Linked DNA regions of Caenorhabditis elegans. The protein of the gene in region 3 interacts with the protein of the main gene of each other region in a pairwise test. Each region holds a gene or a part of one and is shown on either strand. Other genes may lie near its edges.

Region 1 (7,784 bases), on a different chromosome or scaffold from region 3:
TATGGAAACATTCAGAATCCCCAATACTTTTTCTCTTTTCTCACATGACCTTATAGTTTATCTTCCGAATGCTGAATGTTTTTTCTTCAGTACAAATGTTTTGAATACCTAGGTAACCTCGAGTATGAGAAACAACATTAACAATGTTTTGGGAGAAACATGTAGTTTTGTACGTCCGGTCCAGTGAGAGTTTTCAACTTATTTTGGAAGAAATTTTTTTTTGACAAAATTTTGCAATTTCCCACGCAGAAATACGGTATGCCCCGTATCTCGCCACGAACATAATATTTTAAATTGACGGAAAGGTGTGCGCCTTTAAGAAGCACAGTAACCATTTTCCGGTTTTTTTTTTGAAATTGCCTTTGATTTTTACTTTTTTCTCCCAAAAACGAGAAATTTAATATAATCCATCAAAATCTTTGTGAACGAGAGAAATATAGTGAAAAACTCAAAGAAAATTGCGAAATGGATTACTGTACTCCATAAAGGCGCACATCTTTTCGAAAAATCGTGAAAAATTGCATCTGACCAACAGTTTTGCGTGGAATCTTCCTAGATTCAAATTTCCTATGAGTCATAAAACTATCATTTTATCGGACAATAACTACACGTGTACCTTGTTTCCATATGTTCTACCAATATAATTTGTGTTCATATGTGGCCAGGTACGGGAAATTAGAACACGGACTGATTTAGGAAGGTTCAAATTCGAGAACAATGGACGACTTGCTGCACGAAAACGTGGATTATTCTGAAACCGCCTATGTGATCACTATCGATTTAGCACTTCGGTTTTCTTTTTCCGTTTTCCTTTATATTCCGTATTGTATGCCGACAATAACGCTTTTTCTTTGTATAAACATTTCCAGAAGCAGAGCAAATTTGTTTATTCCAGAATTGACTGAATATTGAAATAATGTTTACAGACATACTGTAGATTTTTTTCTATTCAAACATGAATACAGTTTTTCGTATTTTTAATCTTCAGATAAGTTTTGTGTGTGTTTTTGAGAATAATATTTAAAAAAGATAAGCAAATATCAGAACTACGGTAAGCGAAGGGGTACGGTCGTCAATTGCGGACTTCCGAGCTGTGCACGGCGCCAAAATTTATTTTGAGTTTTAAAATGATTTTCTTTGTTTTTTTTTCTTTTTTTGACACGATAAGAACATTTTTCTGTATTTCTAATATTTTAAATGAGATCGTAATAAGTTTATTTAGCTCCATCACATTATTTTCGGAATATTCATCGCTTGAAAACGGCGTAAAATAGGTTCCAAGTAAATCATTGCAAACAAATCTCCGTTTATCGTTCTAACAAAGTTTTTCGTTCACTTTCTTATGTAAATCGTTTTCCCCACTTCTTCTTCACGGGAATGATCAATTGAAAGGCCATAAATTGGTTGTTTTCTCCACATTTCGCAACCAACATGCAGCTGTCGGATAGGCAATAAAATAATGTAATCAATGAGTTTTCCGATTTATCCTAACAGTTCTTTTTCTAGTGTTCCTATTCGAAAAAAGTACTGTTATCCTTCTTTTTGGACCGCCCATCTCAGGTGTCAAGACAATCGCAACACACTCAGAAAATGGGCGGAGTATGCCACCCGGCCTTCATTCGTCGCTCCTTGTCTTCTCCATTTTCGTTTTTTTCCTGTTCTCCGTTCTTTTTTTGTACTTTTGTGATAATGCTGAAGTGTTCTTTTTTTTCGCTTAACCGCATCTCTTGATTTAATTCATATTTTCTTTCAGATTCATGTACAATAACACCAAGAGCTGCTCTAACAACTAATAATAACAGAATCTCGAACAGCGAACACAACAATGCGAGTTCTTCTAATTTTACTCGCGTTTTTTGCGCCAATCGCCAGTCAACTTATGGGTGGAGAATGCGGAAGGGAAGGTGCTTGCTCCGTCAATGGAAAATGCTATAATGGAAAACTGATTGAGACATACTGGTGCCGGTAAGCATATATTTCATTCTCCCATGTCAATGTTATTCATCCGCTTTCTCATGAACCGTGACGAAAAGAACAAAAAAAAGAAAGTTTGGGCAGGTGGTGGTGGTGGGAAACAGGCGATAGATAAACAAAAGCTTGGTGTAGAGAACATTTTGAATAATATCCGAAAGTTGAATTATCACTGTCCATATTTCCCTCTAAGACATCATTAAACGCCACCCGGCTTGCAGAATGGGAACACAATGAACAGCAGGAGGCTGTCACAATGTAAAATCTCGTAAATCGTTCGGGAAATCTAAAAAATTGTTATTTAGTTTTCCCTTTTCTCTACAAACAATTCATTTTTCTTATCAATAACTTTGAGTTCCAAAGGCAAAATTTACAGCCGTTTACAGCCATCTTCCCAGGGTTGTCGGCGAATTTATATGGACGTTCATAAAACAATTGGATTAGCGTGTCGGTTCTTTAATCTTGTCTTTTCTTATTACTATCTAGCTCGTTTGATTAGTTATACAGAGAGTATCAACGTATTTATCGATAGGAAAATTGCGCCATGATGCTCTAAAATACATAAAATCGCTCGATTTATCTGAAAATAACACTTATTTCAGCTTAAAAATGTGAGAAAATGGTCCAAAATTGTCTGAAAGTTGTTGAGTGAATTATCGAGATTTGTTTTCTGATCACTTTCACGAATATATCAGCTGAAAAATTGTTATTTTCAAGTAAATCGATATATTTTGCCACGATTTTTGATTAAAAATACTGTAATTTATTGATTGTCACCCACCACTGGCCCACAGTCATAAATTGTCTCAATTGAATTACTTTTCAGTTTAAAAATAATTTAATCAAATTTACAGTTGCAAAAAAGGATTCGGAGGTGCTTTCTGTGAACGTGAATGCGATTTGGATTGTAAACGAGGCGAGAAGTGCATCTACGATGTTTATGGTGAAAATCCGACGTGTATCTGTCAAGGTAATTTTGTGAATCCTAAAATCTGTTAAATATCATAATATTTTGCCCGAAACGACCTATTTTCATAATGGGACTTCTCAAATCTTTAAATCAAATTATCGCCTTTTTGCATAGTTTGATAAATACTTTATCTCGATTCAAGTGTATTCTAATCAATCATTTTAAGATTTTAAACGTTTCAAATTCAAAATTTTGTTCCATGTTTTACTTCCACCTTTTTCTTCATCTGCCCTTTTTCATAGCGGCAATCTTTTTCACCACATCATCCATCATCACACTGCGAGTGTATTTTTCTTTGATTGTGCCCGACTTGTACGCAATTTTTTGTTTCAGGATATATCAAAATTTCGAAAACTTATTAGGGAAAACACGCGACCATACGTATAATAATTCTCCCGGGAGATCCCAACATTGACAAATTGTACCGCATTCGTGGTATCCTATTTTTCATTTCTACGCTCTCAAAATGACCGCTAGTGATAGATAGCTTCTACTAGGTCATATTCGCACATCTTCATCGCCTTTGTCATGCGATTTATTGCAAATGTTCGGTTTCATTGCGCGGGGGCAGTAGTATAAATCAAGCAGATGTTGTTACACAGACAGCCATGAGAAAATATTTATAAGTTTTATTATTCAGATTGCGAAGACGAGACTCCTCCAACAGAACGTACTCAAAAAGGCTGTGAAGAAGGCTATGGAGGTGAGTAAAGTTTGGATAATGTATGATTACTAATAGTCAATGACTTTGTATCACAATTATTGTTGTTTTGAGCAACAATTGACAGCTATTTTAATTTTTAAAAAGTTGCAAAATTGTTTTTTTTTCAATTTTATATTTTTCGAAAACACAAAGGACCAATGAAATTATCAGATTTTAAAAAATATAGTAAAAAATAAATTAAATATATTTAATTTAATTTAACATATTCTAATAAGAAATGCGCGAGATCCAAGTCTCCCACTGTGATAACTTTTTCCATCTGTTGTCGGAACCGATTTGATCTCAAATAAATCAAAATATTGCGTGTTCTTTTTCTCTATTTTACCGTAATGAGATTGACACCTTTCTCATCTCAAAGGAAATAATCGGCGGTTGGGGGTAATGAGGTGTGAATGGCTATTAGGAAAAACAAACTTCCGCCGGAATTTGAATTTAAATTCCACTTTTTTTAAAAAGAAGACAAAGGCCTATCCGTGATTAATACATTAATATTTTCAGGTCCTGACTGCAAAACTCCTCTATTTTCGGGAGTAAATCCATGCGATTCGGATCCTTGCAACAACGGACTCTGCTATCCATTCTATGGTGGATTTCAGTGCATATGCAACAATGGATATGGAGGATCGTATTGTGAAGAAGGAATCGATCATTGTGCTCAAAATGAATGCGCAGAAGGTTCAACGTGTGTCAATAGTGTATACAACTATTACTGTGATTGCCCAATTGGAAAATCCGGTCGATATTGTGAACGAACTGAATGTGCTTTGATGGGAAACATTTGCAATCATGGAAGATGTATTCCGAACAGAGATGAAGACAAGAACTTCAGATGTGTATGCGACTCGGGATACGAGGGAGAATTTTGCAATAAGGATAAAAACGAATGCCTCATCGAAGAAACGTGTGTTAACAACTCTACATGTTTCAATTTGCACGGTGATTTTACTTGTACCTGTAAACCTGGATACGCTGGAAAGTATTGCGAGGAGGCTATCGACATGTGCAAGGATTACGTTTGCCAAAATGATGGATACTGTGCCCATGACTCGAATCAGATGCCAATTTGTTATTGCGAACAAGGATTCACTGGACAACGATGTGAGATTGAGTGTCCTTCAGGATTCGGGGGAATTCATTGTGATCTTCCACTACAGAGACCACACTGCTCTCGGAGCAATGGAACGTGTTACAACGATGGAAGATGTATAAATGGTTTCTGTGTCTGTGAACCTGATTATATTGGAGATCGATGTGAGATTAATAGGAAAGATTTCAAGTTCCCAGATATTCAGTCATGCAAATACAATCCGTGTGTGAATAATGCGACTTGTATCGATCTCAAAAACAGTGGATATTCATGTCATTGTCCGCTTGGATTCTATGGATTGAACTGCGAGCAACATTTGTGTAAGTTCGAAAATTTTATTTTTATATACGACAAACGCGCCTTTAAAGAGTACTGTAGTTTCAAACGGTGAAATTTTCATCAATTTTTCAGCTTTTTAACATCAAATCTACATAGACTACACAGACTTAAATTTTGAAAAATCAATGGCAATCCCGGAGCAAGGAGAGTTTTTAAACTACAGTACTCTTTAGGAGCGCACATTTTTTCGCATTTAACAAAATTTTTGTCGTGGCGAGACCTGATACCGTATTTTTAGCTCAAGATTACTAGGCAGCATTCTTAATATCAACAAACTTCAGTGTGCACTCCAACTACATGTGCTAACGGAGGTACTTGTGAAGGTGTGAATGGCGTTATCAGATGTAACTGCCCCAACGGATTCTCTGGAGATTACTGCGAAATAAAGGATAGACAGTTATGCTCCAGACATCCATGCAAGAACGGAGGAGTTTGTAAGAATACTGGATATTGCGAATGCCAATATGGATACACTGGACCCACTTGTGAAGAAGTTCTAGTTATCGAGAAATCAAAAGAGACGTTAGTTTTCTTGGATACTATAAAGAATGCAGCCCAGAAAAATAATTTATTGAAGTAAAAAGCGGTTTCAATGAAATAAATACCTAATTTTAGCTCAAATCTCTAATTTTGCCAGCTTCGGTTTGTGTGACACGGGGAAGGTGTTAAATAAAATTTCTTTAGCTAAAATAAGGCTGTCTTTTTCCAAGATTTGAACTGCCATGATTTATTTGGAATTATTTTTTTGAGCCACTTGGAGTATAATGACGATGAAGATAAAATTCCTTCAAAATTTGTATTCAAGGTATTAAATGTGAACATTTCAGTGTCATTCGTGATCTATGCGAGCAACGAAAGTGTATGGATCTTGCTTCCAATGGTATTTGCAACCCGGAATGCAATTTGGAAGAATGTAATTTTGATGGAGGTGATTGCTCAGGAGGGCAAAGACCATTCTCCAAATGTCAATACCCTGCAAGATGTGCTGATCAATTCGCAAATGGAGTCTGTAATCAGGAATGCAATAATGAAGAATGTCTTTACGATGGATTGGACTGTCAATCAGAGTTATTTCGATGCCCAGCTCATATTCGGAAACATTGTATTGAAAGACGAGGCGATGGAGTTTGTAATTTAGAATGCAGTTTCATTGGATGTGGTTTTGACGGTGGAGATTGCAATAACGGAACAGAAGCAATAATCCTCAGTGATATTCGTATAAAAGTTCAAATTGATCCTATTGAATTCCAAGCTACCGGAGGAGAAACACTAATGCAAATCAGTGCAAATCTTCGAGCAACCGTACGTATTCAACGGGATGAACTTGGACCTCTTGTATTCAGATGGGATGGTGAACATGAAATGGAAAGAGTTGAGATGAATAGTAGCAAGCTCGAAGATCAATTTGTACTTTCGCATCACGTTCGCAGGTATCGGCAAGCTGTTGTCACTGGAATTGTCTTGTATTTGGAAGTCGAAGAAATATGTAAACCCGAGTTTTGCCGATTTTCAACAGCGCAAAGTGTCGTTGATTTGATTGCTGCTGGACTTGTGAAGTCTGATGTAAGTTATTTTTATGTGGAGTACGGCACCGGGCTGGAAACAAAATAATTTGGACCGAAATAACAAAAAAAATTAAATTTGTGAAAAATCCAAAAAGGTAGATTTCCGGTTCACTTTTCACTTTTTAGAAGAAAATCATCCGCGTTTTGCTAAAAATATTTGTAAAACATAAAAAAATGTTTGAAGTACAGAAAATTAGTTTTTGAATCCAAAACCAAAAAAACAATTTTTCGTCAAAATATCAAAAAGTCCCAGCACTGGTGGGGCTTAAAATCTATTTTTATGGTGATAAAATGACCAAATATAATTTTTAAAAATTAGAAAAATTTTATAGTATATTTCGAGCCAAAAAGCGGTGAACCTTTAATTGTTTGAGTTATGGAAAATAATAATTAAAACATTTTCAGGGTCGTATGTCTCTGGGTCTCCCAATTACGGAAGCAATGGTAGCTGTTCCAAAGAGAAACGAAATCGATGAAGGATGGTCTCGCAGTCAAGTTATTCTGTTTGCATGTATTGCATTTTTGGCTTTTGGAACTGTTGTCGCTGGTGTTATCGCAAAGAATGGTCCAGAAAGAAGTAGAAAAAGAAAAATGGTGAACGCAACAGTCTGGATGCCTCCGATGGAATCAACGAACGAGAAAGGTCGTCGGAATCAGTCAAATCATTCGAGTCAGTGCTCTCTTCTTGACAATTCTGCCTACTATCACCCCAATACCAAGAGACACTGTAGCGATTATAGTACCGGCTACAATGGAGAACAATATTCACAGATTTATCCACAAACTCTCGCAAATGGATATCCCGGTGATTACAACGAATTGAACTTTGACTTTCAATCTGAGACGTTCGCACCAGCTGATCTACCAGCCGACGAAATGTGAGTGAATCTTTATAGTTTTATTATAATTATTGTTATGTTTCTTTCAGCCCTCTCCATGTTCAAGCTGCAGGACCAGATGCGATTACAGCTCCAATCACAAATGAGTCAGTCAATCAAGTGGATTCAAAGTATAGACGACGAGTTCTGCACTGGCTTGCTGCCAATGTCAGAGGAAAACCGGAAGATGTCATTACAACAGAGGCAATTCGATGCTTGAAGGCTGGAGCCGATGTGAATGCAAGAGATT
Region 2 (4,743 bases), on a different chromosome or scaffold from region 3:
GGCACATAACCAGTCTGTCCGGTTCGTTGGTGTCGAACATACCACCAATCACAATTCGAATGATCCAATAGGTACATAGCATCGCCTTTTTGAAAGCTAAGATCCCCGTCGGCACGTGAATCGTATGGATAGAGGGCGACCAGAGTCTCACGTTCCTGTGCTCCTCCTCCACCACCACCACCACGTCCATTTCCCATCATTCCGTCTGATGTTCCGTTTAGTTGAGAGATGGTTCCCTCGTTTCCACCGTTATTCACGTGGAATACTGTCTGTTGTTGGGGCGTTTGGAATCTGCGTGGATATCTTTTTGGGTAATGGGGGAAGTGTACGGAAAAAAAATGGAAAAATAATTAAAGGTGGAGTAGCCACTGCAACTTTTTCCTCACGAGGGACGAGGAAAAGTGGTTTCTAGGCCATGGCCGAGGGGCCGACAAGTTTCAGCGGCCATTTATCTTGCTTTGTTTTCCGCCTGTTTTCTTTCGTTTTTCATCGATTTTTTTCGTTTTTTCTTAATAAAACTGATAAATAAATATTTTTTGCAGATGCTAAAACAATTTCCAAGTAAAAAAAATCATGTATTCAGTGGGCAAGCAGCGGTGAAAGTGGTCGATGTAATATGATGGATTACGGGAATACAAAACCTAAACGTTTTCTGAAACATGATACATATGCTGCTTAAATGCTGAGACTACCTGATTTTCATAACGAGACCGCTGAAAAAGTTTAGAGATTTTTAAAATTCAACATTTTGTGCGAAAATCTCTACTTTTTCACCAAAAACAATTGAATTTTGAAAACCTCAAAACTTTTTCAGCGGTCTCGTTATGAAAATCAGGTAATTTAAGCATCTAAGCATCATATGTATCATGTTTCAGAAAAAGTTTAGGTTTTGTATTCCCGTAATCCATCATATTACATCGACTACTTTCACCGCTGCTTGCCCACTGAATACATGATTTTTTTACTTGGAAATTGTTTTAGCATCTGCAAAAAATATTTATTTATCAGTTTTATTAAGAAAAAACGAAAAAAATCGATGAAAAACGAAAGAAAATAGGCGGAAAACAAAGCAAGATAAATGGCCGCTGAAACTTGTCGGCCCCTCGGCCATGGCCTAGAAACCACTTTTCCTTGTCTCTCGTGAGGAAAAAGTTGCAGTGATGGGGTCACAATGTCCGAATACCATGATAAAAAAATTCAAAAAAATTTTATATGATTTTTTGAAAATTAAAAAATGGTAAAAAAAAGATTTTTGCCTAATAATTCCTATTTGAATTTTGAATTACCCCCAATTGGATTTGTTCGGTGGAGCGCCGCGCTTGCACATTTTTTATTTTTATTCATTGTTTTTTTTTTTATATTTTCCACCGATTTTCCATGTTTTCAGTGTATTTTTGTCTGAAATTTGAAGAAAAAGTCGAAATAAATGCTAATTTTTGATTAAAAAGCTACTTCACAAGCGTAAATCTTTGAAATTAATTAATTCAGGTTTCGAAATCGTCGTTTAAATGCTTTTTAATCGAACATTTGCATTTATTTTGACTTTTTCTTCAAATTTCAGACAAAAATACACTGAAAACATTGAAAATCGGTGGAAAATATAAAAAAATAACAATAAATAAAAATAAAAGCGTGCAAGCGCGCTCCACCGAACAAATCTAGGCAAAACAAAAAATTAGGCAAAACTGAGATTTTTTCAATTTTCAAAAAATCATATAAAATTTAGAAATTTTTTTTTGAATTTTTTAACCATGATATTCGGTCATTGTGGTATCATAGGCATGTTTAAAAGCAATTTCCCCACTGGCGCTACTCCACCTTTAAAAAAAATATAATACGCGAATTGACGCGTTGTTAGTGCATTTTTAGGTGGGCAAACAATCAAATTTTTTTTATAGAAAAGGAAGTACATATATGAACATTCTCATGTGCATTAAAATTGAAATATTGAATGTTTAAAATTATTTAGTGCTCACTTTTTCCGAAAAAAAATATATATAAATAGAATAATCTCAGAAGAAAAACTATGGCATCATTTTTGCCCAAATAGATGTCTTTAAATGTTTTTAAAAAAAAAGATATATATATATATATATATATATAATTTTTTAAAGACATCGTTGGCATCTAATTGGGCAAAAATGATGCCATAGTTTTTCTTCTGAGATTATTCTATTTATATATTTTTTTTTTCGGAAAAAGTGAGCACTAAATAATTTTAAACATTCAATATTTCAATTTTAATGCACATGTTCATCTTAATACTATTTTCATTTTTAGGCTTAGAAAACAACATTGGCCTAAAAATAGCCTAAAAATAAAGCAAACTTTCTATAAAAAAAGACGGGACAGAGAAAATGATACATTTTTAAATTCTATACATTTTTTCCAAAAAAATACACTCGAAATTGTAAAAGAGTTCAGTCTCGATTAAAAAATTCCAGAAAAAAAAATTTCTAATAAAAACATTTACTACAGTAGGGATCTCGTTTTTTTTTTCAAAATTCTTTGGAACTCAGTAATGTCAAATTGCCGGAATTTGTTGGGATCGGGCACTTACTTGCTGAGAAAATGCCGAAAATCTAACAACTGTTGATCACTGCCGAATTATCGAAATGTGAAACGGGCAAATTTTCGGAATTGAAAAGTTCCGGCAAAACGGGGGATTTCCGCTCACCACCATGTAAATGCATAAAATATCATGCTTTATGTAGATTTAGAATAGCTAAATTTCCTATTTTAATTGAAAAGTCAATAATTTATGATTTTTTATCGAAAAATCAATGATTTCTAATTTTTAACTAAAAATCAATAATTTCAAATTTTTACCAAAAATTAAACCAAACCGGAAAATCGGTTTTTTTTCAAATCTGTATTTAATTTTTGCACTTTTTATCTAAAAAAAAAGTTGATTGTCTCCAAAAAAATAATACATTTCTCTATAAAATAGTTACCTGGAGACATCTATCCGTTCGGAAACACCCATATCACTGCCTCCCGATCGCCGCTCTTTTGAAAACAGGCAACCCATTATTTATTCTGAAAAAAAATTATTTCAGGAAAATGTTACTGGGGTTGCCTCGTTCGTTCGGCAAATCAGCAAATTGCCGGTTTGCCGGAAATTTTCATTTTCGGCAATTTGCCGGTTTGTCGAAAAATTGTTTGTGAATTTTTTCGTTTTTTTTTTTTAAATTTTTTTAACTGAAAAATCTCTGTCAATTTAATTTTTTTTTGACATTTCCACAACTGGAAAACTGCAAAAAAAGACTGTACAAGCAGAATTTTCAAACAAATTTCAAAAAATTTGTTAATTTTAATATATATTAAAATTTACAATTTGCAAATATCACGTGGTGCCAGCCTGTCCCATCACGGTTTGATCTACAAAAAATGCGGCAATTTTTTGCCCAAAAAATGTGACGTCAGGACGGTCTTAACCATACAAAATCAGATGAGAAGTCAGCGTCCCGTTTTCCCGCATTTTTTGTAGATCAACGTAGATCAAGCCGAAATGTGACACTCTGACACCATGTGAAATACTTGAATCGTCGCGAAATTCAAAAATTGTCAGGTTTTGTAATTTTCAGTGAAAATTTTCTGAATTTTCCAAAAAAACTCACACAAGACACCAGTATTTTTGTGCAAACAACAATTATTGAGCATGCATATGGAATGGTTGCTTCTTCTTCTTATTTTCGAGGTTTTTTTTCTGAAAATGAGGAAATTTTGGCGGGAATTTGATTTTAAAAAAACGAGATTTTAGAGGAAAAAGTGAAAATGGAGGGGTAGTAAATATGTTTTAAATAAACTCTGACGCTTGGAATTTATTCAGAAAAAACGCGAAAATTATCAATTTTTTGAAGAAATTTACAATATTTTCCCAACAGAATCAGTATTTTTGTATTTAAAGGTGGTGTAGTTGAATTTTTTTTTAAATTTCTTTAATATACTCAAAATTGTCTGAAAACATCGAATTTCATAATGAAACTTCTTGAAAACTTCTCCAAATACCGTATTTCCTCTATTAGTTTTGCACCCCCTCAATTTGTTCCCTATGTTTAGGAATTCAAAATTTGCATAATAAAATCGTTCTAAAAATTAGGAAAACTCTTACAGACTTGGTATGACAAGTCAAAATTGACAAAATATGAGTACAATTCGGACAATTTTTGCGTATCAGTCGTAAAATTCGTAAATTTTCGATCATAAGTTGTTATTGAAATTGATCATAACTTAATGGAAAACATGAGAAAAAACCTGTTCGAAAATTAGTTTTGCATCAAATTAGGTGTCCGAAAATTAGTTTTGCATGCCTTACTAATAGAGGAAATACGGTAAAAGTTATGGCGGCTCAAAAAATGGCCTAAGATAAGTTAAATTTTGAAATTTGACCGACTTGTCAAGCGGCTGGAAATTAACTTTTTTGAATTCACCGTCAAATTTTGAGTATACAATGTAATTATCCTGCGTTTTCAACTTCATTTAGGTATTATAAAGTCGATGGACGGCGAAATTTGGATAAAAAATTTAAAAAAATGTCGGCCATTTTTTGAGCCGCCATAACTTTTACCGTATTTCCTCTATTAGTAAGGCATGCAAAACTAATTTTCGGACACCTAATTTGATGCAAAACTAATTTTCGAACAGGTTTTTTCTCATGTTTTCCATTAAGTTATGATCAATTTCAATAACAACTTATGATCGAAAATTTACGAATTTTACGACTGATACGCAAAAATTGTC
Region 3 (4,866 bases):
TATACGGTCAAGTGCATCCTCCAGCCGGTGGTTCAGTTTCTCCATGTGTTTCTATAGTTATGTAAATACAAGATGGTATGCCCCTACTGCTACCCTCTTGACCGTCTTAGAATCTTTGTTGGTAGTTGTAATTTAAATTTATTTTTAAGAATCAAATATTTAAATTCTCAGTTGTTTAAAGTGTGCACATTGTGAATTTTCTCTTCTGTTATAAGTTAAGTAACCTCCGCATTAACAACAGACATGTACAACCATAAGTTGATAAGACCTCGCGTCTAATCTGACAACCAGACACCTAAAATTTTGAAATGGATTAGGCAACAGACACCTCTAAACAGAAAAACGTGACAGGGTAATCCTAGGGAAAAACTGCCTGTCTTCTGCCTACGCCTGGGAGGCACGTAGAAAGGTAGTGAAGACGTACCTACCTATTTCACAACTTCAATACTTTTGTTTTCCAAGTTCTTGTACTCAGCTAATCCTCAATATTCGGCGATAATTACTTGTAAACTATCAACAACTAACAAGTACCCTTGACACGCACACGGGTAACAATTGGAACTGACACATCCAATTCAGAAAACAACATGACACTGCCTGAATTGTCTACAAAAGGCAGATGTTCCCATGTCTCCTAATTCAGGTCTTCAAACCAGATACTTGGAGGGGCAACCAACTGGGCGAAGGGTATCAAATGCGCGAAAACCCCTGACTATGAGAGGGATCCTCTAAGAAAAGTGATTGATGACATGGTAACATGGCACCCAGGAAGACCATCTGTTCGGCACTTCCCTTCCAAAAATATACTGTTTCTTTCACCCTATAATTGACTTCTTGCTTTCCTTCTCATTTTCCTTGTTAATCTTGTTATGAGTAGTGTTTAGATCAAAACGCCCCGCGCGCGCATATCGGAAGAAGCTTTGTTTGATCTACCTACCATCTACCCATGACCGGATTAGATTAACACTGAGACGGCTCTAATCAGATTATAACTCAATGAACAAACTAAAGAGAACGAGCAGAAGGAGCGGAAATTGAGTATATTACTGTACATAACATTTACATTTACTAACTTAAGCTAGACCCCTAGCAACCCTTGGAAATTCAAAAGCAAAAATTCTAAATTCCTAAAACGAAAATCCAAGCTAACCCCAACAATGAGCCCCGTTGTCTCTCCTATTAATAAACATGTAACGATGCATAGGTAATTAGCAGTGACTGCTGCTGCTCAGCTTCTCCTCTGACAAACAGCCGGAGCTTCGTAGTAAAAGAAAGATGGATGAACATTGACAATAATTGCATATTGTCTATGACTCTATCTCTGTTTCTCTATTTCTCTCCAATATTTAGATGTTGCAATAATAATTGCAGACAGTCGGTTGCCATTGAATGAAATTATCGTCAGTGGAGATTTATTCGAAATCCACTTATTATAACACAAAAAACCACATATCATAATTTAAATACTTCAAAAATGTTCAGTTTTTTCAAAGTTTCAGTTAAAGTATGGGTGTATTGTTTCAAAAAATGTTAAAATTTAAAAAAATAAATTTTGAGCATAGTTTCGTACTACTAGAATGTTTAAATAGCAGGTTCGTACAACTAAAATGTTTAAATACAAACGATTAAAACGAAATTGGAAACTCGTAGAAAGTATTTTTGAACGCCTTCCAAAATTATAGTAATGAAAAATGAGTTTTTCCCACTTTTTGACTGTATGTAAAATAAAATCAAAAATTTATTTGAACATTTTAACACTATACATAGAAGCTTTTTTTACGGTACTGACGATACCTTCAAAAACGATATCAGAAAATTAAAAAAAAAAGGTTTATTTTTCGACGAATTTTCATGATTCCATTTGTCCCTTTCAAGTTGCTGCAACTATTCTCATGCCGTACAAAAATCTAACACCTAAGCAGCTGGCTTCCCCCATCGAGGTCAACAACCTCTTCTTCTCATTCTTCAGAACTTTTTTGCCGCACTCTCGTAAGTGGGACTATCCGAGAGCAGACGGCCCTCGCCGTTGTTAATGAGCATGACCTTTCTCAAATTTCCGTCATTGTTTATTCTCAAGTGTAAGACAGTGCCTACACGTTGGGAATGCAAAGGCAAAAAGCCGCCCGACAAAAAAGAAGCCGTGAAGATGATGATGAGGAGCATCCCAGCATAAGCATAGATGATGGTGCGCGGAAAGAGAGCGCTCGCGCATAAAGATTTATGAGTTTTGGGGATGGTGCGGAAAGACGAAAAAGAAAATGTTGTTTATGGTTTCATACGCCACAGTTTGGCAAGATTTACGGTTGTGCTCAAATGGGTCGAATGTCATAATAAGGCCGGGTGACGATTTTTCAATAAAACCAAACAAATTTTGATGGAAAATACTAACCTTTTCACATTTTGTATCAAATGGAGCATATTGAACAACACCACTTCCCAGGCATTCAGTTTTTCGAGTTCTTTCAAACATTCGCAATGTATCCGCTTCTTCTGCATTTAAATCTTCACAATATCTAACATCAGAATCCTGTGGTGGTAGTTGATAACGTGATTGACGTTGTCGCCATTTTTCTCCAGCTGATCCAATGAATGGTACCTTGTTTTCCGGGAGACAGGCGAAGTAGGCATGAACCTGTAAGAATTTGAATTTGAATTTGAATTTGAATCAGTATTTGAAGTGCACAAAAAACCATCTGTTTTGAACGGTCCACAGGTTGTGAACATTTTAATTGGTCTAGGTTTTGGTGTTCAAAAACCTAATTCAATTGTTCTTTATTGCACACGAGATCATTCAAAATCTCTATACTTACCATATTCGGCTTCAGACCACTAGGCACCCATGCATACTCGTCCAAAGCACATCCACTGTCATCATCAGATGTTGAATGCCTGTGAGCATCAGCTGCAATTCGGATTCTCGAAGCAGGCGATAGACCACCTTGAGCTCGACGTGATGAGATGAGCTGCGGTGCGAATTGCTCCGATGCTTCGAGACGACGACGGCGAATTCGTTCGCTCATCTGAAATAGGGACTATGAATTGAAAATAACACATTTTCATAAGAGAATGGCAAATTATACGATAAAGTTGAGGTTGACTTGGAAAAAAAGAAAAATAGTGTATGCAAAATCACTTCAAAAAAGCCTCCAAAAAAGGGTGTGTTAAGTGTTAAGTGTGAAAAGAAGACCAGTCCCTCTCTATAACCTTTTTGCTGCCATATAAAAATGTCAATCACTTTGGCAACACCATCACCATCATCCACAAAACTAGACCGGTCTCTCCATTGCCCCGTAAATCCCCACGACGACATCTGACCGTTTCATTTCTCATTTCACTGCAGAAAAGGACATCGTCTTCTTCGTAATGTTGATTCAATTAGAGAAAAAGATTCCGAAATCTTCAACTAGAAGACGACGTCCCGTTGAAGAATGAAAAATAGTAAAGAATCGGGAGACGTGTGTTTATGCTAATTTGATATGGCCTTGTAATAGAGGAATGACTGTTTGCCGTCGCGCACGCCGCCCCGTTTTGTCTCTGTCATTATACTGGTAATAACGGAAAAGTGACGGTAACTAATGGATTAATAGGAACATCTCAAAGGAAGAACTTTAAGATCTCAACGAATCTAAAGTTTTACTGTTGATTCCGACTTTGCGGTAGTGTGTTCGCAAAAAAGTAATAAAAGTAACAAAATTTACCATGATAGTTCCTGTGCATTTTAGAATGTGAAAATTACATACGCTTCATAATTTATATTTGAAGCATTATTCTATTATAGAGATTGTGGCAAGATCCATCAAGAGGAGTAGAAGACACCTTTAAAGTCTCACGTCATGTTTTCACAAACTCTCGGTACTTGAGGATATTTTTATAAACTATTTTCTAGGTCCTTTGGAAGTATTAGTGTTTTCACAAAATTTTATTACTGTTTCAAGGTGGCCATAAATTGCGAGGGTAATGTTTTTGAGTAATTACAACTGTTATTTGTTGTTAAGGAAAAAATTGCTGGCACAATCTTTTGAGAAAAATAAAATGAGAAAAACGAGCCATGAAAAAACTATTTCGAATATTCAAGTAACTCGAGCTTTTGTGAGAGCGGAGAAAAATTATTGTAAGAAAATATAAATGTGTGTTGGAAAAAATATAGGAAGGCGTAGAATGCCTAGTTTGAAAATTTCTGTAAAGATGAAAATGATTTCTGCTCAAGCTCTTGTAGCAGTTCTGAAATTGCCATCACTTCACGATTTCAATATTGAACGCAACAACACCCTGTACTACCAGAACACCAGAATGTGTATAGCGTACAAAAAATGACTCATTTTGCGGTAAGAATGAAATTGTGAAAATTGAAAACTTAAAACAAAAGTGAAACTAATGTGGAGGGCGTTGACCGGAACCGCATGGAATATCTCCCATCAGAACCCAAAAGCTACAAGGATCCTCCCACATCAACTAGAAGGGTGAGACGCAGACCGAGAAGCAGTATTTTGAGGGCGGGGTTAACAGTCTTACCGCATGTGTTTATGTACCCCTCATCTCGGCCAGGAAGGGTCTATATATGTGTGTGTGTCTATGGGTGACAGGTGTTATGATACATCGGTACTAAAGATGTTATCGGTTAGAGATTGGAAGTCCCTGGAGGGTATTGGAGTTGGTTTTAATCTAATAGAGGTGAATAGAGTTGCGGTAGATCAAAAGTTGAGGGCTCTTTTTCAAGTCTTAGATGTAATGATTAGATTACTATTTAATTATGAACTCTTATAAGATACTAAGATACTAATTATGAACTCTAATTTCCGCTCTCAAGCCTGCTCCAACAGAATTTCAACGCCTATTAAAACGGTAATAATTCCAAGAAGAAGACCG

Evidence for each region. The genes of interacting proteins can lie anywhere in the genome.
Region 1: the proteins of prkl-1 (region 3) and glp-1 interact in a two-hybrid assay, tested with the Caenorhabditis elegans proteins (one study listed by BioGRID).
Region 2: the proteins of prkl-1 (region 3) and src-1 interact in a two-hybrid assay, tested with the Caenorhabditis elegans proteins (2 studies listed by BioGRID).

Annotation. Positions count from the first base shown.
Region 1 is NC_003281.10:9,090,488-9,098,271, forward strand, and holds the start of glp-1 (glp-1/Notch intracellular domain), read left to right. Parts: upstream 1-1,753; 5' UTR 1,754-1,825; coding exon 1,826-1,965; intron 1,966-2,825; coding exon 2,826-2,941; intron 2,942-3,581; coding exon 3,582-3,644; intron 3,645-4,163; coding exon 4,164-5,072; intron 5,073-5,372; coding exon 5,373-5,613; intron 5,614-5,918; coding exon 5,919-6,654; intron 6,655-7,061; coding exon 7,062-7,534; intron 7,535-7,584; coding exon 7,585-7,784. UniProt on the Caenorhabditis elegans protein: Essential signaling protein which has a major role in germline and embryonic development; involved in cell fate decisions that require cell-cell interactions. Probable membrane-bound receptor for putative ligands lag-2 and apx-1.
Region 2 is NC_003279.8:1,565,897-1,570,639, reverse strand, and holds the start of src-1 (Tyrosine protein-kinase src-1), read right to left. Parts: upstream 3,032-4,743; coding exon 2,955-3,031; intron 304-2,954; coding exon 1-303. UniProt on the Caenorhabditis elegans protein: Non-receptor tyrosine-protein kinase which plays a role in endoderm development by controlling spindle orientation in EMS blastomere, probably downstream of receptor mes-1.
Region 3 is NC_003282.8:6,983,916-6,988,781, forward strand, and holds the start of prkl-1 (LIM zinc-binding domain-containing protein), read right to left. Parts: upstream 3,021-4,866; coding exon 2,811-3,020; intron 2,633-2,810; coding exon 2,390-2,632; intron 2,295-2,389; exon of another isoform or gene 1,861-2,294; intron 1,420-1,860; exon of another isoform or gene 1,268-1,419; intron 995-1,267; exon of another isoform or gene 841-994; intron 633-840; exon of another isoform or gene 282-632; intron 157-281; exon of another isoform or gene 1-156.